4 linked regions of the Pelodiscus sinensis genome follow. The main gene of each other region encodes a partner of the protein of the gene in region 3 in a complex. Links are inferred from orthologs where the notes say so. Each region holds a gene or a part of one and is shown on either strand. Other genes may lie near its edges. The genes, in order: NUP93, NUP107, NUP98 and NUP85.

Evidence for each region.
Region 1: NUP98 (region 3) and NUP93 share a complex: the UniProt entries of both Homo sapiens proteins name them as parts of the nuclear pore complex. The link is inferred for Pelodiscus sinensis from reciprocal best matches to the Homo sapiens genes NUP98 and NUP93.
Region 2: NUP98 (region 3) and NUP107 share a complex: the UniProt entries of both Homo sapiens proteins name them as parts of the nuclear pore complex. The link is inferred for Pelodiscus sinensis from reciprocal best matches to the Homo sapiens genes NUP98 and NUP107.
Region 4: NUP98 (region 3) and NUP85 share a complex: the UniProt entries of both Homo sapiens proteins name them as parts of the nuclear pore complex. The link is inferred for Pelodiscus sinensis from reciprocal best matches to the Homo sapiens genes NUP98 and NUP85.

Annotation. Positions count from the first base shown.
Region 1 is NC_134722.1:43,933,517-43,941,526, forward strand, and holds the start of NUP93 (nuclear pore complex protein Nup93), read right to left. Parts: upstream 3,004-8,010; 5' UTR 2,899-3,003; intron 2,165-2,898; exon of another isoform or gene 2,012-2,164; intron 1,766-2,011; exon of another isoform or gene 1,430-1,765; intron 1-1,429. UniProt on the Homo sapiens protein: Plays a role in the nuclear pore complex (NPC) assembly and/or maintenance. May anchor nucleoporins, but not NUP153 and TPR, to the NPC. During renal development, regulates podocyte migration and proliferation through SMAD4 signaling.
Region 2 is NC_134711.1:63,434,256-63,442,241, reverse strand, and holds the start of NUP107 (nuclear pore complex protein Nup107), read right to left. Parts: upstream 3,007-7,986; 5' UTR 2,851-3,006; coding exon 2,813-2,850; intron 2,496-2,812; exon of another isoform or gene 2,347-2,495; intron 1,011-2,346; coding exon 925-1,010; exon of another isoform or gene 881-924; intron 1-880. UniProt on the Homo sapiens protein: Plays a role in the nuclear pore complex (NPC) assembly and/or maintenance. Required for the assembly of peripheral proteins into the NPC. May anchor NUP62 to the NPC. Involved in nephrogenesis.
Region 3 is NC_134711.1:325,796,615-325,803,967, forward strand, and holds the start of NUP98 (nuclear pore complex protein Nup98-Nup96), read right to left. Parts: upstream 3,002-7,353; 5' UTR 2,845-3,001; intron 1-2,844. UniProt on the Homo sapiens protein: Plays a role in the nuclear pore complex (NPC) assembly and/or maintenance. NUP98 and NUP96 are involved in the bidirectional transport across the NPC. May anchor NUP153 and TPR to the NPC.
Region 4 is NC_134730.1:12,413,176-12,421,023, forward strand, and holds the start of NUP85 (nuclear pore complex protein Nup85), read right to left. Parts: upstream 3,008-7,848; 5' UTR 2,908-3,007; coding exon 2,875-2,907; intron 2,218-2,874; coding exon 2,127-2,217; intron 1,002-2,126; coding exon 839-1,001; intron 92-838; coding exon 21-91; intron 1-20. UniProt on the Homo sapiens protein: Essential component of the nuclear pore complex (NPC) that seems to be required for NPC assembly and maintenance. As part of the NPC Nup107-160 subcomplex plays a role in RNA export and in tethering NUP96/Nup98 and NUP153 to the nucleus.

The sequences.
Region 1 (8,010 bases), on a different chromosome or scaffold from region 3:
CGGTGGCCTGCTACTCCCCCAACCCACAAGCCAATCAGGGCCTGCAGGAGGGGGAGAAGTGGGCAGTCTCCTCTCACCCTGCAAGGGGTGCGGCACTTCTGCAAGGAGCGTGGAGCATTTAGGACAGGGGCAAAGTGGGAGGAGACTTCACGCAGTTCCCCCCTCCCCCAGGCCAATCAGGGATTAGAGGCAAGGGGAGCACGTGAAGTTTCCTCCTGCCATGCAAGGGGCTCAGTACTTAAAGTCAACTGCCAGCTGCTGCTCCCTTGCAGGGTGCGAGCAGGGAACAAGAGACTTCACATGCTCCCACTCCCCAGGCCCTGACTGACCTGGGGGCAGCAGGGGGAAGCATGCAAAGTCTACTCTCACTGCCACAGGCACAGGTACCTAGAGGGAACTGCCATTCTCTCCGGGGGGAGGGGAACTTTGCACAATCCCCCATCCCCAGACCAAGCAGGGTCTATGGGTGGGAAAGCACAGAAGTGTCCTAGCCCCACTCCTTCTACCTGAGGCCCCATCCTTTCCTGGGTGGCCTAGGGCTACTTCAAAAGTTTCTGAAGTGGCCCCTGGCCAAAAATTATTGCCCATCCCTGCCATAATGCCAGCCCTGGGTTTTATACCTGAAAACCAATTGTTGTAGCCCAAGTGAGCCATGGAGTTTGTATAGCATATTGGGGGAAGGAAAGGCTCTGAAAGAAAAAGATTGAGGACCGCAATCTAGGTGGACCGCCTATCCATCACAGATCACCACCACCCATCTGAACACTAAATTCAACAACCAAAACTATGCCAAAGTATTGCAGCCCACAGGTGACTAGACTGTTAAGTGCCTTAGGCAGTGAATAGCAAGGACACAAATGCAGGAAAATGATTGTGAGATATACCCAGATAAATGTGACAAGTGACCCCACCATGCACTCATGCTGCAGGAGCAAAACCCTACCAAGTTAATTGCCAATTTGAGTTGAGGAACAATTCTTTCCCTCTCCCCCACATACGGCCATTAGTATGACCCCACAGATATGAGCAAGAATCAGCCACAAAGTGTAGGGTTCACCAGCAGAACTGAACCGGGGACCCCTGGAGCTTAGACCAACTGGCTTTCAGCTGAGGCAGTAGAGCACACTCAATCTTTCTCTCTAAGCATCTAAGTGCAGCACACCCAGTAGGTGTGTGGGTTACACAAGCAGCCAGCAGACAGAAAACAGGACTACATAGCGCTTTAAAGACTAACAAGATGGTTTATTAGACCCACTTGGGTCTGGCCCTAGAAAGCTCATCACGTTAGACTAACCATCTTGTTAGTCTTTAAAGTGCTACATAGTCCTGTTTTTTGTTTCAGCTACACCAGACTAACCCGGCTCCATCTCTATCACTAGTCTACCAGCAGACAGAGTACTCCGCAAGGCCTCCCATTCCACCTACTTACATTCCCAAATGGCGTTTCAATTAGATCCCAGACTTTTCCTCCAGATCCCTGTCCTACGTGCCTATGTAGTGCTGCGCTGCAGCATTAAGCAGAGGCTACAATAAACCAGCCCAATCCAGGCCGCATGAAGAAACCCCTGGGTACTCCGGGCCCAAACAGGTGCCAAGCACTGTGGGCGGGACTCTCTGGGGAACCAGGCGCCCGTGTGGAGGGGTGCTTAGCTCCCTCGGGCAAGGCGCCGGACGGAGACACTGGAGACACGCCCGGCTACGCCGCAGCCCGGTCACCGGGCAGGACACATCCCGCGCGGGCGGCGGGGCAGGCGGAGCCGGTTCCGGCGGGGAAGGGGCGGACACGCCAGAGGAGCCTGGCATCGCCCCGCGGGCCGCCCCCATCCCCTGAGGCGCGGCCGAGGGGCTAAGGAACGAGCCCAAGGCCACCGGACCGAGGAGCGCCCCTGGCACAGTCCCCGGGCGCCCCCGTGGGCCCAGGGCCCCTCGCCAGGCCGGCACCGCCGGGGGCGGGGTGGGGGTAGCCGCGAGCACGAGGCGCCCCCGCCCGCCGGCCTGAGCTCGCGCCTACCTGCCGCCTCCTTCCGCTGCGGGAGCCGCTGTCTCCGCGCCGGGCGCGCTGATTGGAGGAAGCGCCGCTCCCCCAGCGGCCCCCGCGCCACTGACGTCAGCTCAGCTTGGTTGAAACGCTTAGCGAGGGATTCGGACCCGGGGGCGCCGGGCCCAGCGTGGGGTCCCTGGAGCGTCGGGCCCAGCGTGGGGTCCCCGGGGGCGCCGGGAGCCGGGCCCAGCGTGGGGTCCCTGGGGGGCAGCGGGCGCCGGGCCCAGCGTGGGGTCCCCGGGGCGCCGGGCCCAGCGTGGGGTCCCCGGGGGCGTCGGGAGCCGGGCCCAGCGTGGGGTCCCTGGGGGGCAGCGGGCGCCGGGCCCAGCGTGGGGTCCCTGGGGGGCAGCGGGCGCCGGGCCCAGAGTGGGGTCCCTGGGGGGCAGCGGGCGCCGGGCCCAGAGTGGGGTCCCTGGGGGGCAGCGGGCGCCGGGCCCAGAGTGGGGTCCCTGGTGGGCAGCGGGCGTCGGGCCCAGAGTGGGGTCCCTGGGGGCCGGGCGAGGTGGGGAAATCCCTAGTGGTGCGGGGTGTGTAGGGGCCATTGGCCAGAGCCCAGCGGGAACCTAGTAGGAGCGGATCCATCCGCACCTCGGCAATTGAGGCAGCTGGTGCCCTGGCCTAGGCCCCGCTCCATCGCATCCGTGCTGGGGCTGGGCAGGGGGCCCAGCTGCCTGAGGTTGCCTGGGGCCTGGCACTGCAGAAACAGCTGAACGCACCGCTCTCAAGCCCGCTGTGCGCTCCGCCTGCCCTGCACCAGAACGAGCCTGGGATGGGAAGAGCCCGCACGTGGCGAAATTAACTAAGCAAGGCGGGTAGGAGGCGCGATCGCTGCCTGAGCAGGGGGCTGATGGCCTTGCCTGCGGTCACTAGGCCAGGGCCACTGGATCCGGCCCGCGGGCCCCCCTGCCGGGACCCCCCCAGGCACGTAGCACAGAGCTCAGTCCCCGCTTCTCTCCGCTCTGCAGGGAGGGGGAAGCGTCCTGCCATCTCCCCGCCCCCAGCCCAAGCCTTAGTTCCGATTGGCCAGAAACAACCGGCCAATAGGAACTGACCCCGGCAATCTCTGAGCTCCTATTGGCTGGAAACAACCAGCCAATAAGATCTGAGAGATTGGAGGATGGGAGCCCCGCAAATCTCTTTCCCCTCCCAGAGCTGAGCGCCACGTGGTGTTTGCAGCTTGCCGTTGTCAGTCATTTGGGGCTGCAGCAGGCAGGGAGCCCAGCCTCTGGCACCCCTGTGCCTCCTATACATACTCCAACTCCCCAGGTCACCATCCTAACCCTCTGCACCCCCCTGCCTCAGGACACAATTCTCTCCCAGACCCTGTACCCCCCTATACCCACCCCCAGGCCAGAATCCTCTCCTGCACCCCAACACCCTCCCAGACCCTGCACCCCATTCCCCTGCCCCAAGTCACTACCCACACCCGGTATAGCCTGCATCCCCTTTTCCCCTTCTCCCAGGTCACAGCTCCCTCCCAGACTTTGCACCCCCACCTCGGCTACACTGTCTACACTGGCAGGTGCAAGAACACATCCACACTGCCATGTGCTTTTGCGCAAGAGCACCCATGGCAGTGTGGACGCTCTCTTGTACAAGAAAGCTCTGATGGCAATTTTAGCCATAGGGCTTTCTCGTGCAAGAAACCCCTGCTGCGCCTCCACGCTGCCCTCTTGCACAAGAGAGCTTCTTGTGCAAGAAGTCCTCTCTTACCACACTTTACTGTAAACCTTCTTGTGCAAGAGCAGGCGAGCAGTATGGATGCTCTACAGAAGAATGGCCATTCTTGCGCAAGAACCCGCCAGTGTAGACATAGCTCTAGTGCCCCTCTCTCAGGCCAGAACCCTCTCCTGCACCCATACCCCTCGCTGACCCTATCCCCAAACCCAGGTCACAACTCCCTCTTTTGCCCAAACTTCCTCTCAGACCTCACACTGTCTCCTGCACCTCAGTCCCTTACCCTCTGTGCCCAACCTCCATCCTGGACCTTGTATGCCCTCCACAGAAAAGTGTGGCCCTTCACCGCTTTCCAAAATCTCGAAGTGGCCCCCCCTCCAAAAATTATTGCTCACCCACGCACTAGGCAGACAAGGAGCATGGGTCCCTCTGCCTTATAGCCGTGTGCTGCAGTGACAGCAATGGAGTTACTCCTGATTTATGCCCACCATGCCCTGTGCTGTGTGCTGCTATAGCATTTACCTATGCCAACAGAAGGGATTCTCTGGTCTGGGGAGTTGCTGGATCACACGACTGGCAGAAGGATTTGGTTCCTAGTTTCTAGTTCAGTTTGGTATGGGGGTAAGAATTAACAAAAATGTCCCATTTATACACTTTTCAGCTGTATGTATGGCCACATTCCAGAGGGCTGCTGCAGAGCGATGTAAATTAACCACAGGCATTCAAAGGATGGGCAACTGTGGTACAATCACCACCCTACAGCTCAAGATTACTACTAGGGAATTGAGCAACTTTGTTTTACAGTTAGGACTCTTAAGCCCTGATCTACAGTAAGAAGTTATTTTAAAATAACCCTCTTTATTTTGAAATAATAAGCGAAACATCCATACTACCAAGCCTATTATTTCAAAACAATGGCCTGGTTATTTCAAAATCTGTATTGCTTTCCTCGAAGAATAATGGTTATTTCAAAATAGCGTTACTGTGGACACTCCACTGCTGCTATTTCAAAATAACTGCTCCCTAAAGTCATTCAAAGTAATATTCCCCAGTGCTTCCTGGGGCTCAAAGTTGAGGTATCATGTCCACAACAATGGAGCCTGCCTTATACTAATTTCAAGACTCCCCTGTAGTGGGGACACTTTGGTTTTATTTCAGAAGTTATTATTTTGAATTTAGTTATTTTGAAATAATCTCCTAGTGCAGACATACCCTAAGGAAGCTGTACTAGCTAAGGCTACTGAAGAGAATCACTGATTTAGTCGTCTGCCCCATCCATGCCCACTTCCTAGCTGGTGCTACCCACTTGGTGGGCTGTGGAAATTCCCTTAGAAAACCCCTAAGGTTAGAAATCTATTTCTGACCCTACAGCCTGGCTGATTTCAGGGAAGGACTTTTTCCAACATAACCCCATCCTGAATTTCTTCTGTAAACATCTTCCTTTAGAATACATAAGTTTATGGCATCCAGGCATAATAATTGTTTCATTTAACAATGTGAAAATTAATGATGCCCCTCTTGTGCCATGTGGAATCACAAATACATCAAATTGCCACACAAGGGGCTACGTCTAGATTGCATCCCTTTTTCGTAAAAGGGATGCAAATTAGACGTATCGCAATTGCTAATGAAGCGGGGATTTAAATCTCCCCCGCTTCATTAGCATAAAAATGGCTGCTGCTTTTTTTTCGGCACGGAGCTTTGCTGGAAAAAAGCGCCAGTCTAGACGTGGATCTTTCGGAAAATAAAGCCTTTTCCGAAAGATCCCTTATCCCTCTTAAAATAAGGGATCTTTCGGAAAAGGCTTTATTTTCCGAAAGATCTGCATCTAGACTGGCGCTTTTTTCCGGCAAAGCTCCGTGCTGAAAAAAAGCGGCAGCCATTTTGATGCTAATGAAGCGGGGGAGATTTAAATCCCTGCTTCATTAGCAATTGCGATACGTCTAATTTGCATCCCTTTTACGAAAAAGGGATGCAATCTAGACATAGCCAAGGGAGTATAAGAAAGTGATTGCTTCCCCCTTTCTCTCTCCAGATATGCACTACTTGCCAACGCTAACAAATCCTCTTCATGAGCAGATTCTCCCAGTCTCATTTTACTAGTTTTGGCTGCTGCCGGAGGGTTAAATAGCTAAAGATGCTGCCTGTTTGAAGGCTTTTAAGTGCTTTTGTTGAAAGATCAGCAACATTATTTAAAAGGCAGCCAGAGAACAGCTGTCCTTCCCTCCTGCCTCATAGTTTTTTACCTTGCCATCTGGATTTGTTTCATGCTGTCTGCCTCACTGGTGACATGGAGCTGCGTGATCGTCTGGTGTCTGACATTCATAATACCAGCATCAGACACTGGCCTTCAAGGACACTGGATCCAGCATCCTACTTCAAAATACCAACTGTCTACCATAAAGATAGTAGAGGGAGGATTTTTTTCTTAATATGTTTTCTTTTTTCTGCAGTCCTTTAAAGTTTCTATAGTGCACAATAGTGATTTGCAAAATTACAGGAAACACAAGGAATACACAGAGATTCCCTGCCCTTGGCTTGGGCATAAGATTGTTCTTCCATCCAATTTGATTAGGAAGAAAGAATTCCAGGTTGGGGTTTGGTTAATAGCTCCCATTTCCTGCAAGATGCAACCAAGACTCCAAGCCATTAGTATGGACTAAATTGGCACAGATTTGTAAGGTGACAGTGTGGGTTCAAAAAGGCTCCCTCCTTGCATCCCAGCATAGGGACTATTCAGTTATTGAAATCCCTGGATCTGATCCTGCAAGGCCTGATGAAATGCATAATGGAATACTCAAGGAGCTGGTTGAGGAGATATCTGAGCGATTAACTGTCATCTTTGAAAAGTCATGGAAGATTTCAGAAGACTGGAAAAGGACAAATATAGTGTCCATCTATAAAAAGGGAAATAAGGCAACCCAGGGAACTCCAGACCAATCAGCTTAACTACTGTACTAGAAAAGAAAATGAAGCAAATAATTAAGGAATCCATTTGCAAACATCTAGAAGATAAAAAGGTAGTAAGTAACAGGAAGCATGGATTTGCAAAAAGAACAAATCATGTTAAACCAACCTGATAGCTTTCTTTGATAGGATAACAAGCTTTGTGGATAAGGGGGAAGTGGTAGATGTGGTATAACTAGACTTTAGTGAAGCATTTAATACAGTCTTGAATGACCTTCTCATTAATAAACTAGGGAAATACAATCTAGATGTGGCTACTATAAGGTGGGTGCGTAACTGGTTGGATAGCCATTCCCAGTGAGTAGTTATCAATGGTTCACAGTCATGCTGGAAGGGTATACCGAGTGGGATTTCACAAGGATCAGTTTTGGAACCAGTGCAATATCTTTATCAAGTAAGATATTGGTATAGAGAGGACACTTATTAAGTTTGCAGATGATACCAAGTTGGGAGGAGTTGCAAGTGCTTTGGATGGCACGACTATAATTCAAAATGATCTGGACAAACTGGAGAAATGGTCTGAGGTAAACAGGATGTAATTGAAGAAAGACAAAAGTACTCCATTTAGGAAGGAACAATATCTTTCATGCATACAAAATAGGAAATAACTGTGTAGGAAGAAGTACTGTAGGAAGTAATCTAGAGGTCTTAGTGGATCACAAGCTAAATATGAGCCAACAATGTGACACTTGCAAGAAAACAAACATAATTCTGGGATGTATTAACAGGAGTGTTGTAAGCAAAACATGAGAAGTAATTCTTCTGGTCTACTCTGCGCTGATTAGACCTCAAATAGAGTACTGTGTCCAGTTCTGGGTGTGACATTTCATGAAAGATGTAGACAAATTGGAGAAGGTCTACAAAAGAGAAATAAAAATGATAAAAGGTCTAGAAAACATGATTTACAAAGGAAGCTTGGAAGAACTGAGTTTGATTAGTCTGGAAAAGAGATAATATGATAACAGCTTTCAAGTACCTAAAAGGTTGTTATAAGAGGAGGGAGAAAAAATATTTTCCTTAACCTCTGATGATAGGACAAGAAGCAATGGGCTTAAATTGCAGCAAGGGGAGGTTTGGGTTGGTTATTAGAAAAACCTTCCTGTCAGGTTTAGCACTGGAATAAATTGCATAGCAAGGTTATGGAATCACCATTATTGGAGACAAGATGACTTCTCTAGCTCCCTTCCAGTTTTATGATTCTGTCCACCTCCTCTTAAAAATATTTCTACAGACAAGCAATATTTCACATCCAGATTGGTCCTCCAACAGCTCATCTTCCAAAACCTTCCTATAAGAGGCCAATTTCCTTAACTTTTTCGTCACTT
Region 2 (7,986 bases), about 260 Mb from region 3:
GAGACCATATCAATGTGAGGGTTTTTTGTTTTTGCTTATCACGCGTGTGGCCCCCCAACCTATTTTTCTGAGGGTCTGAAAACCCCCAAAAAGGTTCCCCACCCATGCATCACAGCATCTTAAGAAATCCTTAAGATATCACAGGGAATGTCCACTTAGTCCACTAAATTTACCAAGGCTAAGAGATAATTCCTGTTAAAGAAGCCTGAAATATTTACCTGAGATTTAATAGCTAGAGGACTAAGGCTAAACCTACTAAACAGAGGCGGATAGTGAAGATGAGCATGCATACGAAGGGAAACTCACCATAAGGGATCTAGGAAGGTATTAGTACATCAGCCTTTGGCTAGAATATATCTGCTTTATCTGATATTTCATCCCTCACTGAAAGAAAAAGAACTTTCTATATCTGCTCTCTAATTACACAAGTCTGCTAATTGCTTGGGGGAGGGGAACAGGGAGAAGTATTCTCTGCTCCTCAACCATTTCCTCAATTTGTTTTGTGGTTCCCTCCTACTCAATACATAATTCCAGTGCATGAAGGCAAATCTAAAAGCAAACCAGCATGGAACTGACATGATTCCTGTCAAATTCCCTGCTGCTCTTTGGAATAGCGAAAAGGGTCAGCATCTTGTTAGTTTTATTCTGTTGTAGTCAGAGAGCTACCAGCAACAGCAGACATGTTGGGCTCCTTTACTCTCAGTGTCAAATTTTTAAAGTACACATTAATGTAACTTGTGACTTCAAATGTGTATTAAATTAAAGGAATAAGTTTTGCAATATTCTTCAACTGACAATTCAATTTTTGGAAAGTCTTCATTTACTGAACCCCAAATCAAGAAAAGTTAACTGTGGCATGAAGCAATCACAACTTTTATACCTTTTAAAACAGGACAGAAAAAAAGCTTGACAGAAAAAGGATACTAGAAACTCTTTTTTTAGAGCTCTGTTTCCGAGCAGGCCTGGTCACCTCTATATCTGGTGAGGATGACATTTCTCCAAATTCATTCCTACAAAACAGGAACACAGTTGCTACAGTTAAACACATTCAGATGACGTTTCCTAAAAGAATCAGAAGTGTAGCAAGTAACTGGATGGTACTAAATACAAAACCCAATTAAAAAAAGAAACTAACAACAAAAACTTAAAACTGAAATACCAAATACTAATATCTATCCAGAAATAGCCTTTATTGAAAAAAAAAGTCTTGTGGAATACTGGATTCTCATAATGCTGTGGAAGCTACAACCATTAGTCAGAATACTTTTGAGAATGTTGTGCAAGAGCCTTAATATGCTACATTTATGCAAAGGATTTGTTTAATCTATTTCTTATGTAAATATGTTCCATATTAGAAGCTACAGACAGAACACTTGGTAACTTCAGTTGTTTTAGACTAGGGATGTAAAATCCTAACCAGTTGGTTAACTGTTAAACATAATGTTTAACTGCTTACCCCTTTTAAGGTGGGACCACTCCAGCCTGTCTGCAAACCTTGTGTGTAACCGCTGAAATTTTCAGCAGTTACACAGTTACTTAATTACACGCATTTTAACAATTCTAGTGCACATAAAATTCATTCCACACATACGTGAAAAAAATTAGAAGGAAGTGCGTGCTATTATAAATTTGTAGGGCAGACCTGCCCTAAGCTGCCGTGAACCCTTTCTGTAATGTTATTTTAAATCAGATGCTAGCCTTTTCCATAGTCAAAATTAGACTGGCAAAAGTGAATATTTGCCTGAAATTCCAAATCCTGCTAATCTTCCAGTGTTAGATTTTTCTCTGGGAGAACGAGGAGTACAGGCTCTTTCAAAAGGTTCCCCCCACACTCCCAAAAGAACCGCCTCTAGACGGTGCTTTCACTTTCAAAAAACCCTTTTTCAAAAAAGCACTCAGACACCATTATGCAAATGAAGTGCAGGATATTTAAATTCCCACTTCATTTGCACTTTTGATTTGCCTAAATTACATACCTCTTTCGACAGAGGGATGTAGATTAGACATACCCATACAGAGGTAATATGTCCTCTGTGCTCCTACTTGGTATCCCCCCTACAAGGACTGCATTTGCCCTTTTAAATAAATTAAAAACACATTAAAATGTTCAATTAATTATCACTTATGATTCTTAAGTCCTCTCAGAGTCCCTGATTTCCAGAACACAAATCCCAATTTTTCTAGTGTGACCTATACCCTTGGTCCTAAATATAAGACATTGCATTTAGCTGTATTAAAACATGTAACAAGATGCAAAGACTTGAAGTTGAAACAAGACAAATTCAGAGTAGAAATATCTCCATTGTTAAAAAAAGTGAGTGGTATGTGACCATCAGAACAATTTACCAAGGAGATTTGTGCACAAAACAGCCACAGATAGTTGAATCTGCACCATGGAAGATTTAAAAATCAAGACTGGCTATTCCTCATCAAAAAGACATGCTCTAGCTCGACGGGAGCCACTGGCCTGGCAGCAGCAAGAATTACTGTGAAGAAGTGTCAGAGGTAGTTTAAGTCTAACTTGCCTGGACACTCATTAATGGATCTCAAAGTCACCATATTATTTCAAACCAATTTCAAAAGCCAGCTCAAGAGCAGAGCTACAAAACTTATTTTCATTTACAAGTTTGATTCTTACCACGTTCCACATCCTAATGATAAAAACCAAACAAAGGGTACTTAAAATGAGTACTAAATACTCTTACCAGCTTCATGCAGCATGGACACTCTAATTGTCAATTCCTCCCTCCCTTTTTTCTCCTCCTCTCCCCCCCCCATTCCCTTCTCTGTGCTGTTTGAAAACTAGACCCACCCCTTAAACTCCACTGAGCTGTGCGCCCGATAGCTCATGACACCTCCCACATGTTTTGACAGGCGCTAAGGTGCTGCAGGACGCTAGGTTGTTTTTGGAGAAGCCCTGCGGCCCGAGTGACGCGGGAGGGCAGGCAGAGGAGCACAGCAGCCCTTTCCGCTCGGGCCTGGTCAAACCCCCCCCCCCCCGCCCGCATTCACCGCTCTGCCCGGCCCCGCTCCTTACGGCTCCGGCTCTATTTGCCGCCACTCCCGAGAGAGCCGCAGGGGGGCGGGTCTCTCTGCAAGGGCCCCAAGAGCCTATTCCCGCCGCTCGAGAGCCTCAGGGGAGCGCCAGGCCGCGGAGCCGGTGGGGGGAGGGGAGACTTGGGGGTCCCGGCTCGGGCCTTGGCTCCCTCCGGGCCAGGCCGGCCACTATCCCGAGCCCCGCTAGGCTGCCGCGCTCACCTCTCCATGGCCCGGACCCGGAAGCGCGTGCGTTCCTCGAACCGGAAGTTGAACGAGGCCGCCCGATTTGACGGGGAAAGGGCGCGCTTACATTGCGCAGGCGCGTGGCGGCTGCCCGGAGCTCGCAGCCCAAAGGGATCGAGGAAGGCAGCGCGCGCCGCCGCGCTGGGATTGCGCGCGCAGTCCTGCCGCAGAGATCCTGGCGCCTGCTGCTCTCACAGCCCCGCCGGCTTCCCCTCCGCCGCGTGGGAGCTGCCCGCTCGCCAGGCTCTCGGGCTTGCCTGGGCAAGGCGCGCTCCTGTTGGTTTCAGCACAGGACCTGATCTTGGATGAATGATTCCCTGCGAATGCTCGGGCCATGTGGACACTGGGAGATAAGGGAGACTCTATGATGGTCGGTCTCTGGTCACCGGTTCTGCAAAGTCCAGAGGTCCGCGTGCTCGCCGTGGGGAAGATTTGGATGTAGTCGGAACTACCTGCCCCCGTCAGGGACTCCGCCGTCCACTCGGAGCACGATGCACCGTGTAGCTTTGTATTCTGGTCTCTGCTCTGGGTGCCCGCTGTGATCAAAACTGTGCAACTGGTGGTTATGGGTTGATGTCAGCATCCCATCATAGGCTTGTCTAGTCCCTGCCCATGAGATCAGGGCGAAGCAGTCTGTTCCCACCTTTTTCTGCACTGATTTCCCATGCAGATGCCATAGCAGTGCGAGCATGGTTTACAACAAACCATAGTGATGCTGATGTGTGCCGTGGGGCACCTAATGATGTGCGCAGTAATGGCAGATTGGCCACCTGGTTTCCTTGGAGTGCGGCCAACAGTAGTGGCAGTTTCTCAGCTCCTAGCTTTCACTCAACTGCTTCTCTTTGGCCTTTGAGGGAAGCATGAGACAAGGTGCTGGGAGCAGCCCTTCGTTATCCTTTTGCACAGGTGGAATGAAGGTTTTTTTTTCCATAAGCAGTGAAAATAACGTTTCTTATTTACTGTTGTGTCCCCTGAGGAGGGGCTCAGGGCAGAGGAAAGGGGGAGGTGTGATATGACAATGCTCCTAAGAATTGAAAGTGGGGTGCAGTGTAGGGGGCTCAGCAGGCGGTGGCACTGTTGTGGAAGATAGCAGGAGCTTGGGGCAGGGGGAGGAGGCTGGTTGTGAGAGGGTCCAGGAGTCAGGGTTGGAGGATGTGGGGGATGCAGAAGTCAGGGCAATGGGGGTAGGGGGAGGAGAGTGTAGGTGTGATTACAGGGGGGTCAATGGCACTGAGGCATATCTCCCAAAGGATTGCTATGGCCTGGGGAAGGTCAGTGTCAAGGTCTCAATCCTATAAAAACATTCAAAATGGCCAGTGTCTCAGAGCTGGTGACAACCAATGTCCTGAAGAAAAGGTTAGGAAGGGCCTACAGAAACTAGAAGTTATTGCCAGACCATAGGAATTATTGCTGGGGGCTCAAGTCAATCAGGCTATGACCAGATACAGGATAGTATGCACTGGAATTACAGAATGTAAATGTGGCTGCACTGCTAGAGATGGGTTCAGGTAATAAGTGGATTAGAGATGTAAGCAACTAGTCGAGTCACTACTCCACTAGTTGCTTCCTCCCCCCTTGCTGCCTCTATATGAGGCGGGGGGGAAGAAGGGAGGCCAGGGGGGGGAAGAACAGGAACCAGTGCTGGGGGGAGCTGGCTTAAAAACCGTCTCCCCGCAGTACCATCTATGGGGGGGAGCAAGGGGGGCGGAGGCGAATCGGGGAAAACAGCAAGTGCGGGGACTCAAGTAGTGCCCACTTGCACCGGGTCTGACTGCTGCACTTCAGCCTTTTAAGTGTAGCAAGAACCCCATACTGCCTGAGTTCCCACTTGCCCCAAGTTCCCCACTGCCCCTCTGCCTTTTAAATGTAGCAAGAGTCCCTCGGGGCTCTTGCTACGTTTAAAAAGTGGAGGCGCAGTAGTTGGAACCCTCTACTGTACCTCTGCCTTTAGATGTAGTAAGAACCCTGCAGAGCTTTTGCTACATTTAAAAGGCAATGGCGCAGCTGGGATTGCAAGCGCCCCCTCCTCCCCCCATTGCTTATCAACCAATTGAGTACTCGGAAAATCCACTGAGTACTAGATTAGCTGATTAGTCAAAATGTAATATCCCTACAGTGGATAAATGACACTTAGTTCAAAAGAAGAGAAAGTCATCTTTGCACCTTCTGAAGCAGCAAAAAAAGCAGGCAAATAGATTTCTTGCTAGTCTGAATGAGCTAGAGGAGGAGGTTATGGATTGTAAATTTATGTTGAGCAAAATGATCACATCCCAACACAAGCCACTGGTACAGTTTCAACTGACAAATGGTCCTGGCATGATCTTTGTGCCAGTGAGACATGAACAAGGATACAGAGACTGTGTGGGGTACTGTTGATAAGTTTAGGGAAAGAGCGGAAAGGTTTGAGGCAAAAGGTACACAAATTGTAACAGCAGAATTAGAGTGGTCTATCTAAGAATGTTTTGATCTGAAGTTAAACAGCTGGGGAGACCAGTGTCTCATGAAAAAATAGTTTAACAAGCAAAGAAAAAAGACCTCTTTGGAAGAACACATGGCCACATATAGAACTTCCAAGCAAGCAGCCAGTCAGGAACCCTAAATTTAGATAAGCTCTATGAGATCAACAACTACTCTCAAAAAAAATATGCAGTCATATGAACAAGGAAAAAAAAAGGAAGGAAGGGAGGGAACATACCATTCATAAATATAGGGAGCAGACCTCTTGTGATAGAAGACTTGTAAGTAACAGTGAAAACACTGTGATATACTTAAGATATGCTACACTACCGTAATGTGAACCAATTATTATGGATGTTGATCTCTGAGATGTCCAGGCTGCAGTGCAGATGATGTTACCTGGAAAAGCAACAGGACTCAACAAAGTCACAACAGAAACCATCAGAGCCTTGAGAGAGGTTGGCAAATGCTGATTCATGTGAGTCCTGTATGCAAATTGAAGAGAGAAGAAAATCCCAACAGAGTGGAGACTAATTGGTACTAATGTACAAATAAAAATGTGACACATAGGGCCAGAGTACCAAGGAATTAAGCTATCATCCCACTGCATGAAACTGTCCAAAAGAGCCAAATAGTTGAGTGCTTTAGTTTTAGAAAAGTAAAAATTACGATAGATGGTGTAGTCATTGCTAGACAGCTGGTCGAAAAGAAGCTGGAGGGAAACATAGCATGGCTGGGTTTGCCTCAATTGGGGGAACACGTCCAAGAAAGCACCTGAGTTGGCTGTTGGTGCCACTGCTACAATGCAATGGGGATAGTAGCGGATTTTGTCCATATGGTGATGGGTCTACTCCTAGGGGTTACAGAACTCAATGGCCTTTTCTTTATAACGGACAGACAAAGATGCTTGCAGAGTTTTTAAAACTATTAAGTCTAAAATGAAAATCCCAACAGAGTGGAAAATTATAAATAATGTAAAACAAATTATTATGGTAAGGGCTGGTGGCCACACAAGAATGGACTTCATTGTGCTAGACTCTGTACAGACACAGAATTTTGTTTGTGAGCTGGGATTTAAAGTATGGATATGAATATATACCCCTTTTCCACCCAAGAAGTTACCAGTTATTACAAGTTGTAAACTCTGTTAACCCCTCCCCCCCTTCTATTTTATCAACAACTCATTATGAAACCAAGTGAGCATTTCTGCAAGATATGAATACCTAAGAGTAATAATTCACATCTTAGTCTTCAGTTGGGGGCTAGAAAGCATTTTACAAATAAAGCCTCAAACACCTATGTGAGATAAGTAGACAAACCAAATTCAGTGTCGTAAGATTTTAAAAATAATTGTAATGATTTCAGCTATTTAAATCTGAAATTTCACAGTGTTGTAGTTGTAGGAGTCCTGACCCAAAAAGAGTGTTGGTTGTATGGGAGGGTTGTGGTCAATGTTCCCTCTAATATTTTCCATCCATGTGCAGATTTTTTCCATGTGCAGAATAAATTTTATGTGCACTGAGGCATGTGCAAACCTGCACCACCAGTAGAAACACAAAACCAAGCTGTGGGCACTCTGCTAATCAGCAGGGTGGCATTTGGATTTCTCCTGAGCAGTTGCACAAGTGCACATCTTTTATAGGGAACACTAGTTCCAGTAATACTACCCTTATTTCTGTACTTCTGCTGGTGGCAGTGCTGCCTTTGGAGCTGGGCAGCTGAAGAGAGGCAGTTGCTGACTTAGGGTACGTCTAGACTACATGCCTCTGGCGACAGAGGCATGTAGATTAGGCTACCGGACATAGTAAAATGAAGCGGCGATTTAAATAATCGCTGCTTCATTTAAATTTACATGGCTGCCGCGCTGAGCCAACAAACAGCTGATCAGCTGTTTGTCAGCTCAGCACAGCAGCCATGTAAATTTAAATGAAGCAGCGATTATTTAAATCGCCGCTTCATTTTACTATGTCCGGTAGCCTAATCTACATGCCTCTGTCGCCAGAGGCATGTAGTCTAGACGTACCCTAAGCGTCCAGCTCTGAGGGCAAAGCTACCACCAGCAGCAGCACAGAAAGATGGTATCACCACATTACTTCTATGCAGCTAATTGTAGAGCTGGGCCCTCAGTCATTAGCCACCACTGTCCAGTCACCCAGCTCTGAAGGGAGCAGCAAAGTAGTAAGTGGCATGGTATGCTACTGCCACCCTTAATTCTGTGGTGCTGCTAGTGGGGTGCTGCTTTCAGAC
Region 3 (7,353 bases):
GCTGACCCGTCTCAGACAAGGGTTTTCCAGACCAGTGAAGGGAGAAGGCAGGAGGCACACAAGCTACCTGCCACTGCTGCCCCGGCCCAAGGGGTTCCAGCAGGTGCCCTGAGACCCACTCCCCCTTCCCTAGCCACCTCAAACCGTAGTCTATGGATTCTGCCGAGCCAGAGTGTCCCGGACCACAGGTTCAACCTGTATATCCTTGTTATTTTTCCTCATTATACATTGAAAATAAAGTATGTTTACTTTCTATTGACCTGATAGTTAAGTTTTGCCATAGTTCCCATACACTGACAATCAAAAGTGCTGCATCCGCTTCTATGATTTAACTTCTCTTTCCCCGTATGGCTTACAGGTGACTGCTACCATTGTCAAGAGACCATTGCCATCTGAGGTCTCTTGACACTTGTCTTTCCAATTCTCCCTTGCACCGAATGCAGTAGCTTCCTCTACTACTAAGATACCTTCAGTTTATCTAACCGAAGGGCTTCTCAGCTTCTGCTAACATACAACTACAGGCAGTCCCCAGGTTACGTACAAGATAGGGACTGTAGGTTTGTTCTTAAGTTGAATCTGTATGTAAGTCGGAACTGGCATCCAGATTCAGCCGCTGCTGAAACTGACCTGCGCTGACTACAGGAAGCCCGAGGCAGAGTTGCTCTGCCCCGGGCTTCCTGGAATCAGCCAGCTGATCAGTTTCAACAGGCTGAATCTGGACACCAGTTCTTACATACAGATTCAACTTAAGAACCCCAGGCGTCCCCAAGTCAGCTGCTGCTGAAACTGATCAGCGGCCGATTCCAGGAAGCCCGGGGCAGAGCAACTCTGCCTCGGGCTTCCTGTAGTCAGCGCTGGTCAGTTTCAGCAGCGGCTGACTTGGGGACGCCTGGGGCAGAGCTGTTTGGGTGCTGCTGGGTTGCTCCAGTAGCGCCGCTCCTCGGCGCTACTGGACCAACCCAGCAGCACCCAAGCTGCTCTGCCCCAGGCGTCCTGATTCAGCCGCTGCTGAAACTGACCAGCGCTGACTACAGGAAGCCCGAGGCAGAGGAGACCAGGGAGACAGGCAGCAAACCCCGTTCGTAACTGCGGATCCAATGTAAGTCGGATCCACCTAACTCGGGGACTGCCTGTAATCTATCAATTTTCATTTTTAAACCAGGCTCCCTTCAGCAGGAGTTGGAGATAACCGACTTTCCCCATCCTCCCTTAAAAGTATTCTTGTATCTAAACCTAACTAAATCTTCTCTTAGATGAACATTAATCCACCCTTCCATGTAATTCTTCTTCCTTGTTTAAAAGTTATAGTACCATTCTTAACTAGTGAGCAGCTAAAGAGAAGAAAAAGTTGTATTCCTTCCCTATCTCCCACCGCATCCCATCTGTAGCTTTAATCATAGAATCATAGAATAATAGGACTGGAAGGGACCTCAAGAGGTCATAGAGTCCAGCCCCCCGCCCTCAAGGCAGGATCAAGCTCCGTCTACACCATCCCTGACAGATGTCTATCTAACCTGCTCTTAAATATCTCCAGAGAGGGAGATTCCACCACCTCCCTTGGCAATTTATTCCAATATTTGACCACCCTGACAGTTAGGAATTTTTACTACACAAGTCACTATTGGCTAAGAGTTTATTTTTGTATCTTTTATGACACCAAGCACATTAAATCTTAAATGATTTCCAGGGCCTTGCTGGAAGTTCCCCATCTCACTCGTGCTACAAAATTACAGTAAAACTCCAACAGTCCAGCATCCAATAGTCCGGTACTCCTGATAGTCCGGCATCAAAATGGCAAGAGCCTAATGAATGAGCTTCGGCAAAAAATGAGTTACAAGGTAACAGCAGCAGCAGCTGAACTGAGCAAAAAGGGTAAAAAAAGGCTTAAAAAAAACTAAAACATTACAGTATACAGTCTGTACAATAAAAAGGGTTAAGAACACTTTATATACAGTATATAATGTATACTATGTGTGTGTGTGTGTGTGTGTGTGTATATACACACACACACACACAACCATCTTATAGTACCTCCTGATAGTCCAGCATATCCAATAATCTGGCACCACCTAGGTCCCATAGGTTCTGGATTATCAGAAGTCTACTATACTCTTACCTCTGGAACATCCAAAAACACAATAGCATCTGAAATATGAGGCTAGTCTCCCCAACAGAGCCCAACACAAAGGGATAATTAATAGTCTCCAAACCATCCTGGCTGATTGGGGGGTGGGAAGGGAAGAGAATTCAGAGTTCAGAGAGAGAAGTCCTAGCGCTGCCCTCCCATTGACTATGTCAGCAGACGGTGAAACTCAAGCTGTTTTCACCGGACACACTGCCTGCCACGAGACTATTAATAATACACCACTGCACCATCCACACACCTCACTCTGGGGAGTCGCCCGCCTCGACCCCCCCCCCAAAAGTAACGCCCCCCCCCCCACTTCGGGAGGGTGCCCATCACCAGGCGCATCCCGACCATGGGGCACCCCAAAGACAAACCCCGGGCCGCCCTAAGGGGGTCACCGCCAAGCCCGCCGCGCTCTGGGGGGGGAGGAGAGGAGACAGCCCTGCCACCATCCCTCCCCCACGCGCCTATCCTGTGCCCCCAGGGAGCCCCCCCCGGGCTCAGCAGCGCGCGCGCGCACTCGGGCACGCAGCAACCTGGGCAGCCCCCACGCGCCAGGCCGGAGCGCGCGGGGAGGCCTCGCGCCCCCCTGGAGACCAGCCCCGGGCGGGAGGAAGCGAGGCGCGCGGCCTGCGCGGCGGCCTGGGGCGAGCCGCGAGCGGCAGAAAAGCGCCGGGCTCCGCTGGAGAGGCCGCGCGGCCCCGCCCGCGCCTTACCGAGGACCCGGGCCCCGCGACGGGAGCGACTCGACCGCGCCGACAGCAAACGGCACCGCCACGACGCCCACCCGTCCGCCGTCGCCTCACAGGAGGGGAAACTGCGTCACACTCCGCTCGCGCTCCCACCTCCCGCCGCCGCGCCCCGCCTCCCCGCGCGCCCTATTGGCCCGCGTAGCCCGCCGTTCCGTCCGCCTATTGGCTGCCGCCGTTTGAAACCGAGGCAGGTCCCGCCTCCGCCTGGCTGCCTCCGCTGATTGGCGAAGGGGACGTTTCGAACGTCACGAGCGACACGAGTTCTCATTGGTCAACATGAGAGCGGTTGGCCCAGACTCCGTCCTCTTCCAGCGGCGCTCTTCCCCACATCCGGGTCATTGAGTCACCTCTCTAAAGGGCGGGGAAAGAGGAGGGGCTTAATCCTGCGCCCGCCAATCACACGGCAGCACCACGTTACCATGGCAACCGGGGCTGGGCCTGTGTTTTCTTGGGGAAAAGACATGGGCCACGTGGTCCGGGTGCCTTCCAAAGTAACCAGCCAGCAGCTCCCCTTGTGTGTCCCTGTCCCTGGCCTGCCCCACAGTGGGCACTGCCCCAGCCCTGCTACCAGACTCTCCCTTAGGAGTCATAGGCCCCAGGGCAGTACTATTACACTGGTGCCCCTCTGCAGCGGGGATGATGATTTTTGTAGAGATGTGATTTTATAATCTCCAGCAACTCTCTCGTGAAATACTTTTAAAACAGATTTTAAACTAAGCTCCTGCAGACTAACACAACTGGTTCGATGTCTTCATTACCACTTGGATAGGCTCCGTGTTGTGCTAATCGCTCTGGCAGGCTTTTTCACTTTTAAGTCAACTAGATCCTCTCCTGAGAAAGCAGAGCCACAGAACAAGGATGGGAAGAGACAAGTGGGTGAACATTAAGACTAAGTGGTGCCCCAAATTTTCAGGTGCCCTTCACGGCCGCGTATTCTGCATATGGATAAGGAGAACCCCTCCTACTGCTTCCCACTCAGCCAAACCCACACCCTAGCCTCTGGCCTTCATTACCTTCCCCATTGCAACCTCAGCCTGTGCTGCCTTCCCATAGCCTCAGCACACTACCACATCTAGTCACTGACTTGTGCTGCCTTTCCAAGGAAGCCCTGTAATGCAATGCCCCTGCCAGAGCTATTTTTGCAAAAACAAATAAGCCTCAACCGCAAAAGTGGCTAAACAGGTTTGATTTCAATGGGGCTACACCTGGTAAAGTTAACTGTGCATAAAAGCTTGCAGGAGGGAGTTCTTTATATTCTCAGCTTCTTGGAACAGGGGCCCCACCTGCTTTTCACTGTGTGCTGAGCAAAATAATGGTGTTTGTGAACTAATGCAAGTGTTGTGATAGTCATATTGATCCCAAGATATTAGAAGGCAAGGTCAGACCAGCTTGGTCCAATAAAAGATACTACCTCACTAACGTCCCCTCTAATCTTTTCCATCCATGGGTAGATTTTTCCCATCTGTATGTGGAATAAATGTTATGTGCACTGAGGCATGTGCATATGTGCACCACCAGATTTTATACTGTTTTCTTTGGTATTACTAATCTTATTTCAGAGCTGGGGACACTGAGACATGGTGCAGAGAAGTTACCTACTCAAGGTCTCACATAGTGAGTCAGTGGCACAGCCTGGGAACACCCAGTCCCAACCCCCAATCTTTTGTTTGAAATATATAGTAATCTGCATGGAACTTGGAAGGAGGATTGTGGTTTGCAAGAGGGAAGAATTCACCCTCACATGGGGACGGGAGGGGAAAGATATACTTAACTAGGGTCTGGAGGCCAAGAGGGGCCTAGCTCAGGCTACAAATTGTGGTATTTGTGTGGGAGAGGGCCCATGTTACAAGTTTGTACTGGGCCCCCCAAAAATATGCTGGGGTCCTGATTCAATCTTTGTACATGGCTGGAAATGTTGGTAACATCAGAGCCTCCGTAAGCAGGTCTATTAATTAAGGACTGTTTGAGACCTGAGTAACAATGGTTAAGACCTTGCTAATATCAAGCAAAGCGAAGTTGTGAGCAAGAGGCAGGCTCCTGCTCACAGAACTTGGCAACAACAAGGCCAAGAGTGTAAAAAACTAATTAGTAATAAGCACAGGTGTAGAACAGTAATTGGCACTAGTTACAAGATGTAAAACAGTAATTGGTACTAGACATAAGTTGAAAGCACATTCAGGAAGGATGGTAACAACACCTCCTTAAAAAGGATCTTCGTACCCACACACTCCCGACAGATACCAACTCAGGTTCAGGAAATGGGCTAAAATGACAGCATAACGGATAGAGATATTCTAATTGAACCATGAGGTGCAGGGTGATGCATGTGTAACTCTTCTGCCAGGTAGGCCCGGCAACAACCGGGGCTGGGTTCAATATCTAGGGGTCCATCTCACACAGAACCGGCTCGAGCCCCCACTCAGTAACCTGGGAAATTCACACACCCCTGGGCACCTCTGAGAGACAATGCTTCCCCACTCGCAAGCATAGAGTCTGAGTGTAGGAAAGAAACATTTAATGAAAGAGAGAGAGAAGTCATACGGCATTAACTTGGAAAAATACCACAAACAGAGTTCACAGCCCAAACGTGAGCTAAGCCCCACTCCAGCCAAGAATCACCCGAAGTCCCAAAGTCCGACACCCCAAAAGTCTCTGTCCCTGCTCAGTGCCACGTAGAGTCCAAAAGGTCACCTGCAGGGTTTTACCTCCCAACCTGGGTGGAAATGGGGGCAAGGAGATAGATAGTGGCATCTTACATGGTCCGAAGCTAACGGCCCCACCTCTCCGTAGGGTTCTGCTGCAGTCTTTAACGCGAGCCGCTCCACCAGCTGTCTCGTTCCACTCCACCGGACGCTCCGCTGGTCGCCTGCCGCTGTTCCTACCGGCCGCCTGCCAGTCGTTTCCACCAGCCACTCCACTGGCCGCTTCAGGTCCTACTAGCCGCCCACTGCTTCACTGGCTGCAATGGGTCTGGCTCCCAGCCAAACCAGTGATTTCAGCTCTTAGTGATTTCAACTCTTTAGCCACCACCTCGACTGGCAAAGGATTCCAGCTTCCATTGGATTAGCAAAAAGAGTCGTCATGGAGTCTGCTTTAGGTCTGTCCTTAAAACGAAGGGCTGTGTCTACACTGGCGCGTACTTGCGTGAAAATGGCCTCTCTTGCACAAAAATATGCCACCTGTCTACACTGGCCACATGTTCTTGCGCAAGTAAACTGACATTGTACTGTAGAAAATCAGGGCTTCTTGCGCGAGAACTCTGACGCTCCCTCTCAGGAAGAAGCCCTCTTGCGCAAGAGCTCTTCCAGAAGAGGCCAGTGTAGACAGGCCACATGAATTCCTTGCGCAAGAAAGCCCTATGGTTAAAATGGCCATCAGATCTTTCTTGCGCAAGAGAGCGTCTACACTGCCATGGATGCTCTTGCGCAAAAGCTCTCTTGTGCAAGAGTTTTTGCACAAGAACTCTTCCGCAAAAGAGTTCTTGCGCAAGAAGCTGCCAGGCTATGTCTACACGGGCAGCTTCTTGCGCAAGAACTCTTTTGCGGAAGAGTTCTTGTGCAAAAACTCTTCCAGAAGAGAGGGTCTACACTGGCATGTGCTTTTGCGCAAGAGATGTGCTTTTGCCCAAGAGCATCCATGCCAGTGTAGACGCTCTCTTGCCAAGAAAGCTCTGATGGCCATTTTAACCACAGGGCTTTCTTGCGCAAGAAATTCATGTTGCCTATCTACACTGGCCTCTTGCGCAAGAACAATTGCGCAAAAGGGCTTATTCCTGAGCAGGAGCATCATAGTTCTTGCGCAAGAAGCACTGATTTCATACATTAGAATGTCAGTGTTCTTGCGCAAGAACATGCGGCTAGTGTAGACAGGCAGCATGTTTTGGCGCGAAAGCGGCTGCTTTTGTGCAAGATTGCACCAGTGTAGACACAGCCTTCTAAAAGAGCTATTGCACAAAAGGGCTTCTTCCTGAGCGGGAGCATCAGAGATCTGGCATAAAAAGCACTAATTTTATACTTTTGGGCTACGTCTACACTGGCATGATTTTGCACAAATACTTTTAACGCAAAAGTTTTTGCGTTAAAGTATTAGTGTGATGGCGCGTCGGGGTTTTCCCGTCTCCTGCACCCCCGTAATGGCACAGACAGACTCCACCAGCCAGTAGAATAGAGAGAGTTTATTGCTTCTCCAGGATACAGCACAGCACATATGTAATCTGGTTACAGGGCAGACCTAGGATGCCTCAGCCCCCCCTTGAGATGGGGGAGCCTGGGCCCCTAAATCCCAGCCCGTTGCCTAGGCTGCTTCCTTCATGATACCAGCCAGAAACCCAACTAACTCACTTCCAGCCCTGCCCCCAGCCAGGGCTCCACTCTCCTTCTTCCCATTGTTCCACTCCCTGGGAGATAACTGGTCAGACAGGTTCGAAGCCTCCTTGCATAATGACTCATCCCCTGCCCTGCTGGGCTGTGCTGC
Region 4 (7,848 bases), on a different chromosome or scaffold from region 3:
AATGGAGAACAATAACTTACTAGCCAACTGGTGCATCTCCTCCATACAAGCTCTTATGACTGAACGGTAGTTTTTACTCACTAGAACCAATCTGTGAAGAATACAAAAATCTTGTTTAGAGAGATTTATTTATTGTTAGTCTTGTGCCTACAGGATAGTAGGGCCCCAATCCTACAAGTTTCTCTGAAGAGGCAGATCTCTCCTGCACTGTACTGAAGTCAGTGGGGCTCTACACAGGCATAGAGGTCTATTTGCAGGATTGGGGCCAAATTTTGTAAAATGGTAACAGGAAAAATTAGTTACACAATATTACTGAGACTCACCAGCTAAGAGAATTTCAGTTTCATTATTCCACTCATTGGAGAAAGATTTATATGTTTGGTAGAGGAAGGGGAACAATATACTGGTCATTTTCTGCACAGAATAATTATTGTATCACCTTACCTCACATTCTAACAAGACAATCTGTAAAAGGCATAGGGGATTTGCTCTCCTACCTCGTATCTACAGATGAGGCAGTAGAGATCAACAGTAAAGGAGAGTGGGCACAAATAAAAGGAACAATCAAGATATTCTTTATTAAATTCAGTCAATGAACAAAGGTATATACTGTATGAATTGTACCTTTGGTAACTCACAAACTTACCAACCTAACAAGATGCACAGATGCAACACTATTTGAGAAACAGATCTGACGGAACTATTCCCAACCTGCCTTCGCCCTCCACTATTAAGTGGCACATCTAAATTATGCCTCACTACTGATCTCCATGGGGAACAGGGAAGCAGACATGTTCTCTTTTTGTTTCAACAGTATCTAGCATTTCTGTTTACTCACTGTGCCTTCTTTGACTTCCCAGCCAATTCTTCCTCACTCTTCTGTAGTCCAACAAAAATCCCATGGGATTCATTGAAGAGTTTGCGTAATGTCTGTGAGTACACATCTTGATCTTTGCGAACAATGAAAATATTGGGGCAGCCTAGCCCTTTCTCTTCACGTCCTGAAATGAAGCATGTAAACCATAAAATAGCCAAATGAATGCTATGGCTCTGCAGAATCTCAGTCCTATTGGATAGTAATATACTTCTGTACTTACAGTAATGGTTCTTAACATATTAACTGGAAATTTATTTGGTAAAAAGTCTAGGAGTCAGCACAAAAATAGGACAAGAGGCACAAAACTATTAATAAAATATCAGACCCTCTGTAATATTCAATTCCACAAAATTCCTTAATAATTTGCATGTGATAATGAAAATTCAAATCTGCTCAATATAATTCCTAAGTCTGATCATGTATGCTTACTGTGACTGAATGTATGAGTCTAATGTGCACAAATGTGACTGAATTCTTCACCCAGCTCTTAGCTGTTTAACAGTGTTGCTAACTCTCACATCATTTGGTGGTGTTCTTGAAGCCTCAACTCCTAGAATCAAATGACCGGCCAAGAAGTTTCTAGCTCTCGTTGCAAAATAAAACTTGAAAAACATGATCTGAACGTACACCAAATTCTTTAAAAGGCAATAAAAAGAACCCCACGCTTATTTTCAAATATCTCATTTTAAGCTAATTTATTTTGGGATCTAATTTACAGTTTCTGAACACTAGGGCTACGTCTACACTGGCCCCTTTTCCGGAAGGGGCATGTTAATTTCACCTATCGTAGTAGGGAAATCCGCGGGGGATTTAAATATCCCCCGCGGCATTTAAATAAAAATGTCCGCCGCTTTTTTCCGGCTTTTAAAAAAGCCGGAAAAGAGCGTCTACACTGGCCCCGATCCTCCGGAAAAAGCGCCCTTTTCCAGAGGCTCTTATTCCTACTAGGAATAAGAGCCTCCGGAAAAGGGTGCTTTTTCCGGAGGATCGGGGCCAGTGTAGACGCTCTTTTCCGGCTTTTTTAAAAGCCGGAAAAAAGCGGCGGACATTTTTATTTAAATGCCGCGGGGGATATTTAAATCCCCCGCGGATTTCCCTACTACGATAGGTGAAATTAACATGCCCCTTCCGGAAAAGGGGCCAGTGTAGACGTAGCCTAGAGGTTGTCAATACTCCAGTTTGCTCTGCATTAATATTTAGTAAAATCCACCCAAGACAAGCATTCAAAAATGAAAGAGAAGCTATCCACCTTTTGGGAACAAAGTTTCACACACCAGCATCTCTCCAGGTCCCCAGTCAAAACACATCTGCTTCCGATTGGAGTCCACTCCAGGAATCAGCTGTTAGGAAAGAAGGCAGAGGGACTATCAAGCATGTGGCTGCTCTCTATGACAACAGAGCAAGCAAGCGGGATTCCTTTTCCTCTTTCAGAGTATGTCTCCCTTGCAGCCTCCCAATTTCAGTCCACAAGCTTGTGGTAGTGGGGCCCACAGTAGCAAACTCAAATTAGCTGTTTAGTGTTGCAGCCCGCATTCTTAACCCCAGGAGAGGATGGGGTGGGTTTGAGAGCCATAATGTAAAAGCAATATCTACAAAGTCATTTTTAGCACACTAGGGCAAGGCCCCATTAGCACAAGTCTATCTAACCAAGCTGGGATGCTTGCTCCCAGATACAAGAGAGATGCCCTCAGTTTGCCCATCTGTAAAACGGGGATAATGATCCTACCCTCTCTTGTAGAGCACTAGGTACTGCGCTAATGATCATTGCATTTTTTTTTTTTTGCGCGGGGGACTCATCTGTGCTAACAAAGGGAGATAATCAGTAATGCACAGGTACGGGGGAGGGGCCGAAGTGAGGCACAACAGCTCCCTGCCCCGCACAGCCGCGCCCCTCTCCCCGCAGGCCCCCCCTCGCCTGTTCCCTCCCCCGCCCCAGAGCTTCTGGCAGGGGGAGGAGGGTCCAGCCTCCCCAGAGGTAGGGACTCGCTCTGCCGTACAGTGACCGCCGGCTCCACATCCAGCTCCTCCATGCCACCAGCGCGCTCTCCAGGCCGGGGCCGGACAGCGGAAGCGAAGCAGCTCTGCCGCCACCACAGGCCGCCTGCACTCAGGGCGCCAGGCAGAGAGAGAGGCCCCTAGTTCGGAGCTGACTACTGCGGTGCCTGCACAAATCTACGCCACCTGGGCCACATTGCTGCAGCTGCGCTTCTCGACTAGCTCCTTAGGAAGGGGGGGAATTGCGTGTGTTGGAAAGGGTGAGGGTAAGTTCTCCCTTTTGGGGCTTTTATGTTGAAATGGGGGGCAGGCGCTCAATAGACAGCCCGATGGCGCAACGAGCGCTGGAAGGACCCCGCGAAGCTATATAAGCGGGAGAGGCGGCCCGAGTCAATGCATTCGGAGGGGTGGGGGTGGGTTGGGCTTCATTGGGTTGGGTTCTTTGCTCGTCCCTCCCTAACGCTGGCGGCTCGGCTCAGCTGCTCGCGGGGTGGCGGTGTCGCTGGCTGTGGGGCGCCCTCACGTTGCCCATCAGGCTGGAGCGGCAGCCCCTGGGGCGTTGCTCTAGTCCCGGGGGAGGGCGGTGCAATGGCTCTCGCGGGTGGGCTCAGGCGGTGTCATGCTCAGTCCAAACAGCCTGTGGCAACATCATGCTGGTGTGTAGGGATCCAGAAATAAGGGGGTGGGAGAGTTGTGCTAGCAGAGCTGGAGGGCTCTCCCACTGCTGGCCTCTCTTCCTTCCAGCTGCATAGGTGGGGATGATGGCATACATTGGTGTAATGGAGCAACTGCTTAACCTGCTCCATACCTGGATTCATGCTGTAGGTGGTAAATTCTGCACACAGATATAGGTATTTGAGTCTCTGAGTGTTAAGTGACAGATGATGAAGGGAAAGCTGAAGTACTCAATGCTTTCTTTGCCTCTGTATTCGCAGACAAGGTGGGCTCCCAGACTAATGCGCTAAGTGATGCAAGATGGGATGAAGATGGACAGCCCGTGGTGGGTAAAAAACAGGTTAGGAACTATTTAGAAAAGCTAAATGTACTCAAATCCATGGGTCCGGAGTTAATGCATCTGAGGGTACTGAGGTAGTTGGCAAATGTCATTGAGGAGCCTTTGGCCATTATCTTTGAAAAGTCATGGAGGTTGGGAGAAATCATGGATGATTGGAAAAAGGCAATTGTAGGGCCCATCTTCAAAAAAGGGAAGAAGGACGATCCAGAGAACTATAGGCCAGTCAGTCTTACCTCGGTTCCTGGAAAAATCACGGAAAGGATCCTTAAGGAATCCATTTGAAGCACTTGGAAGAGAGGAAAGTGGTTAGGAATAGTCAGCATGGATTCACAAAGGGCAAGTCGTGTCTGACCAATCTGATTAGCTTCTATGAAGAGGTAACTGGCTCTGTGGATGTGGGAAAGTCAGTGGATGTGATGTACCTTGACTTTAGCAAGGCTTTTGATATGGACTCCTACAATATTCTTGACAGCAAGTTAAGGGAATGTAGATTGGCTAAATGGATGGTAAGATGGATAGAAAGATGGCTAGAAGTCCGGGCCCAGCGGGTAGTGATCAACGGCTCGATGTCCGGATGGTGTTCGGTTTCTAGTGGAGTGCCCCAAGCTTTGGTTTTAGGACCGGTTTTGTTCAATATCTTTATTAATGACCTGGGTGAGGGGATGGATTGCAGCCTCAGCAAGTTTGCGGATGATCCTAAGCTAGGGGGAGAGGTAGATATGCTTGAGGGCAGAGATAGGGTCCAGAGTGACTTAGACAAATTGGAGGATTGGGCTACAAGAAATCTGATGAGGTTCAACAAGGAGAAGTGGAGAGTCCTGCACTTGGGACAGAAGAATCCCAAGCATAGTTACAAGCTGGGGACCAACCAGTTTAGTAGTTCTGCAGAAGAGGACCTGGGGGTTACAGTGGATGAGAAGCTGGATATGAGTCAACAGTGTGCCCTTGTAGCCAAGAAGGCTAATGGCATATTAGGTTGCATTGAGAGGAGTATTGCCAGCAGATCCAGAGATGTCATTATTCCCCTTTATTCGACTTTGGTGAGGCCACATCTGGAGTACTGTGTCCAGTTCTGGGCCCCCCACTACAAAAAGGATGTGGACGCATTGGAGAGGGTCCAGCGGAGGGCAACCAAAATGATTAGGGGGCTGGAGCACATTACTTTTGAGGAGAGGCTGAGGGAGTTGGGTCTGTTTAGTCTGCAGAAGAGAAGAGTGAGGGGGAATTTGATAGCAGCCTTCAACTTCCTGAAGGGAGGTTCCAAAGAGAATGGAGGCTGTTCTCAGTAGTGACAGATGGCAGAACAAGGAGCAATGGTCTCAAGTTGTGGTGGGAGAGGTCCAAGTTGGATATTAGGAAAAACTATTTCACTAGGAGGATAGTGAAGTACTGGAATGGGTTAACTAGGGAAGGAGTGGAGTCTGCATCCCTAGAGGTGTTTAAGACTCGGCTTGACAAAGCCCTGGCTGGGTTGATTTAGTTGGGATTGGTCCTGCCTAGAGTGGGGGGCTGGACTTGACCTTCTGAGGTCTCTTTCAGCTCTATGGTTCTATGATTCTAAGGTAGAGTGTAGTCCTCCATCCCTTGCTACCCTGTACTATGGACAGGCCTCCCCATTTATGATCATAACAGGGGCTGATAACAGGGAGTTGAGAGGGAGTTTGGAAAAAAAAAATCTTACCGTTCTTAAAAAATCTTTTCACTAAACTATTATCAAAACTTCCTAAGCTCTGGTGGGCCTTCAGGGGTTGATTGCATCAGAGGCAAGGCTTTGAGACAGGCCTAGCCTCAGCCTTCTTAAAAAGGCAGCCAGAGCAAACGCAGAGAGCAGCAGCCAACCTGGGAGTTGGCCTGGGAATTCACCCTAGGAGACCCCCATAGTGTTTAGTGCTCTTTTCCTTGAATTTTTTTTTCTTTTCTCTCTCCTGCCCTTCAAGGAGGCATTTAATAACATCTGAGGATACTCTCAGAAGGAAGGCAGGTATGGATGGTGATAGGTCTGCTGTTGTTACCTGCACAGCATGTGCCATGTTAGTCTTCCTCCCGGAAGAAAGAATGGATTTCATCTGCTCTAAGTGCAAGCTGGTCACCATTTTAGAAGAAAAAATTAGAGGACTTGAAGCCTAGGTATCAACCCTACATTCTATCAGAAAGGATGAAGACTTCCTTGATAGAAGGCAGCATTTAATCCTGCAGGCACAGCAGGCTGAAGAGCCAGTCAGGGCAGTACAGGACAAGGAAGAAAACTGGCACCATGTCATCTCTAGAAGGAGAAAGCCAACTCAGGTATCCCCCATTCCTGTAGAGGTAAGTAACTGCTTTCAGGCTTTCTTCACAGCACTGCGGTGGAGAATGCTTTGGCAGGGATCTCTCAGGGAAGAAATTAGAAGAGAACACCATCTACCAGAAGGCATGGGATGCCTCGTCCGAGGGATGGGGGTTCCACGACTACCACCCCCAAAAGAAAACAGGTGGTGGTGGTTGGGGACTCCCTCCTAAGGAGGACTGAGTCATCCATCTGTCGTCCAGACCTGCAATCTCGAGAAGTGTGCTGCTTACTGGGAGCTTGCATTCAGGATGTGACCAAGAGACTTCCGAAAGTGATTAAACATTCGGATCGCTACCCATTCCTGCTTCTCCATGTAGGAACTAACAATATGGCCAAGAATGACTTTGAGCGGGTCACAGCAGATTATGTAGTGCTGGGAAGAAGGATAAAGGAATTTGAAGTGCAAGTTGTGTTCGCCTCCATCCTCCCAGTTGAAGGAAAAGGTCTGGGTAGGGATCATCAAATTGAGGAAGTAAATGTGTGGTTGCACAGGTGGTGTCAGAGGGCTTTGGTTTCTTAGACCATGGGACTCTGTTCTGGGCACAAGGATTGTTAGGAAGAGATGGGATCCACCTAACCAAGAGAGGAAAGAGCATCTTCATGGGTAGGCTTGCAAATCTAGTGAGGAGGGCTTTAAACTAGGTTCATTGGGAGACGGTGACCAAAGCCCTGAGGTAAGTGAGGAAGTCGGACACTGGGAAGAATCACAAGGAGGAACGAGCAACAAAGGAGGACCCCTCTTTTAGATGGAGAAAGCAAGGCGATCAGCTGGTTATCTAAGGTTTTTGTACACCAATGCGAGAAACCTGGAAAACAAACAAGAAGAATTAGAAGCCCTGACCCACTCAAAGAACTATGATTTGATTGGAATCACAGAGATAAGGTGGGATGACTATACCCTTCCATGACAGTGCTCCAGTCATGCTAAACTGTTCAGGAAGAACAGGCGGGGGAGAAAAGGAGGAGTTCTATTGTATGTAAGAGCATATGATTGCTCGGAGCTCCAGTACTTAGAGGGAGAAAAGACTGTCGAGAGTCTATAGGTTAAATTTAGAGGTGGAAGTGACGGGTGATGTTGTGGGTGGTGTCTGCTATAGACTGCCGGATCAGGTAGATGAAGCTTTCTTTGGACAACTGAGAGAAGCTTCCAGATGGCAGGCCGTGGTTCTCATGGGTGACTTTAATCACCCTGACATCTGTTGGGAGACCAATACAGCAGTTCAGACAATCCAGGAAGTTTTTGGAGAATGTTGGGGATATCTTGGTACAAGTTCTGAAGGAACCGACCAGGGGCCATGTGCAGCTTGACCTGCTGCTCACAAACAGGGAGGAACAAGTAGGGGAAGTAGAGGTGGGTGACAAGCTGGGAAGCAGTGATCATGAGATGGTAGACTTCAAGATCCTGACCAAAGGAAGAAAGAGTAGCAAAATACACACCCTGGACTTCAAAAGAGCAGACTTTGACTCCCTCAGAGAACTGATGGGCAGGATTCCCTGGGATGCTTACATGAAGGGGAAAGGAGTCCAGGAAAGCTGGCAGTATTTTCAAGAAGCCTTATTAAAGGCATGGGAAGAAACCATCCTGATGCAGAGCAAGAAAAGCAAATATGGTAGGTGACCCCATTGGCTTAC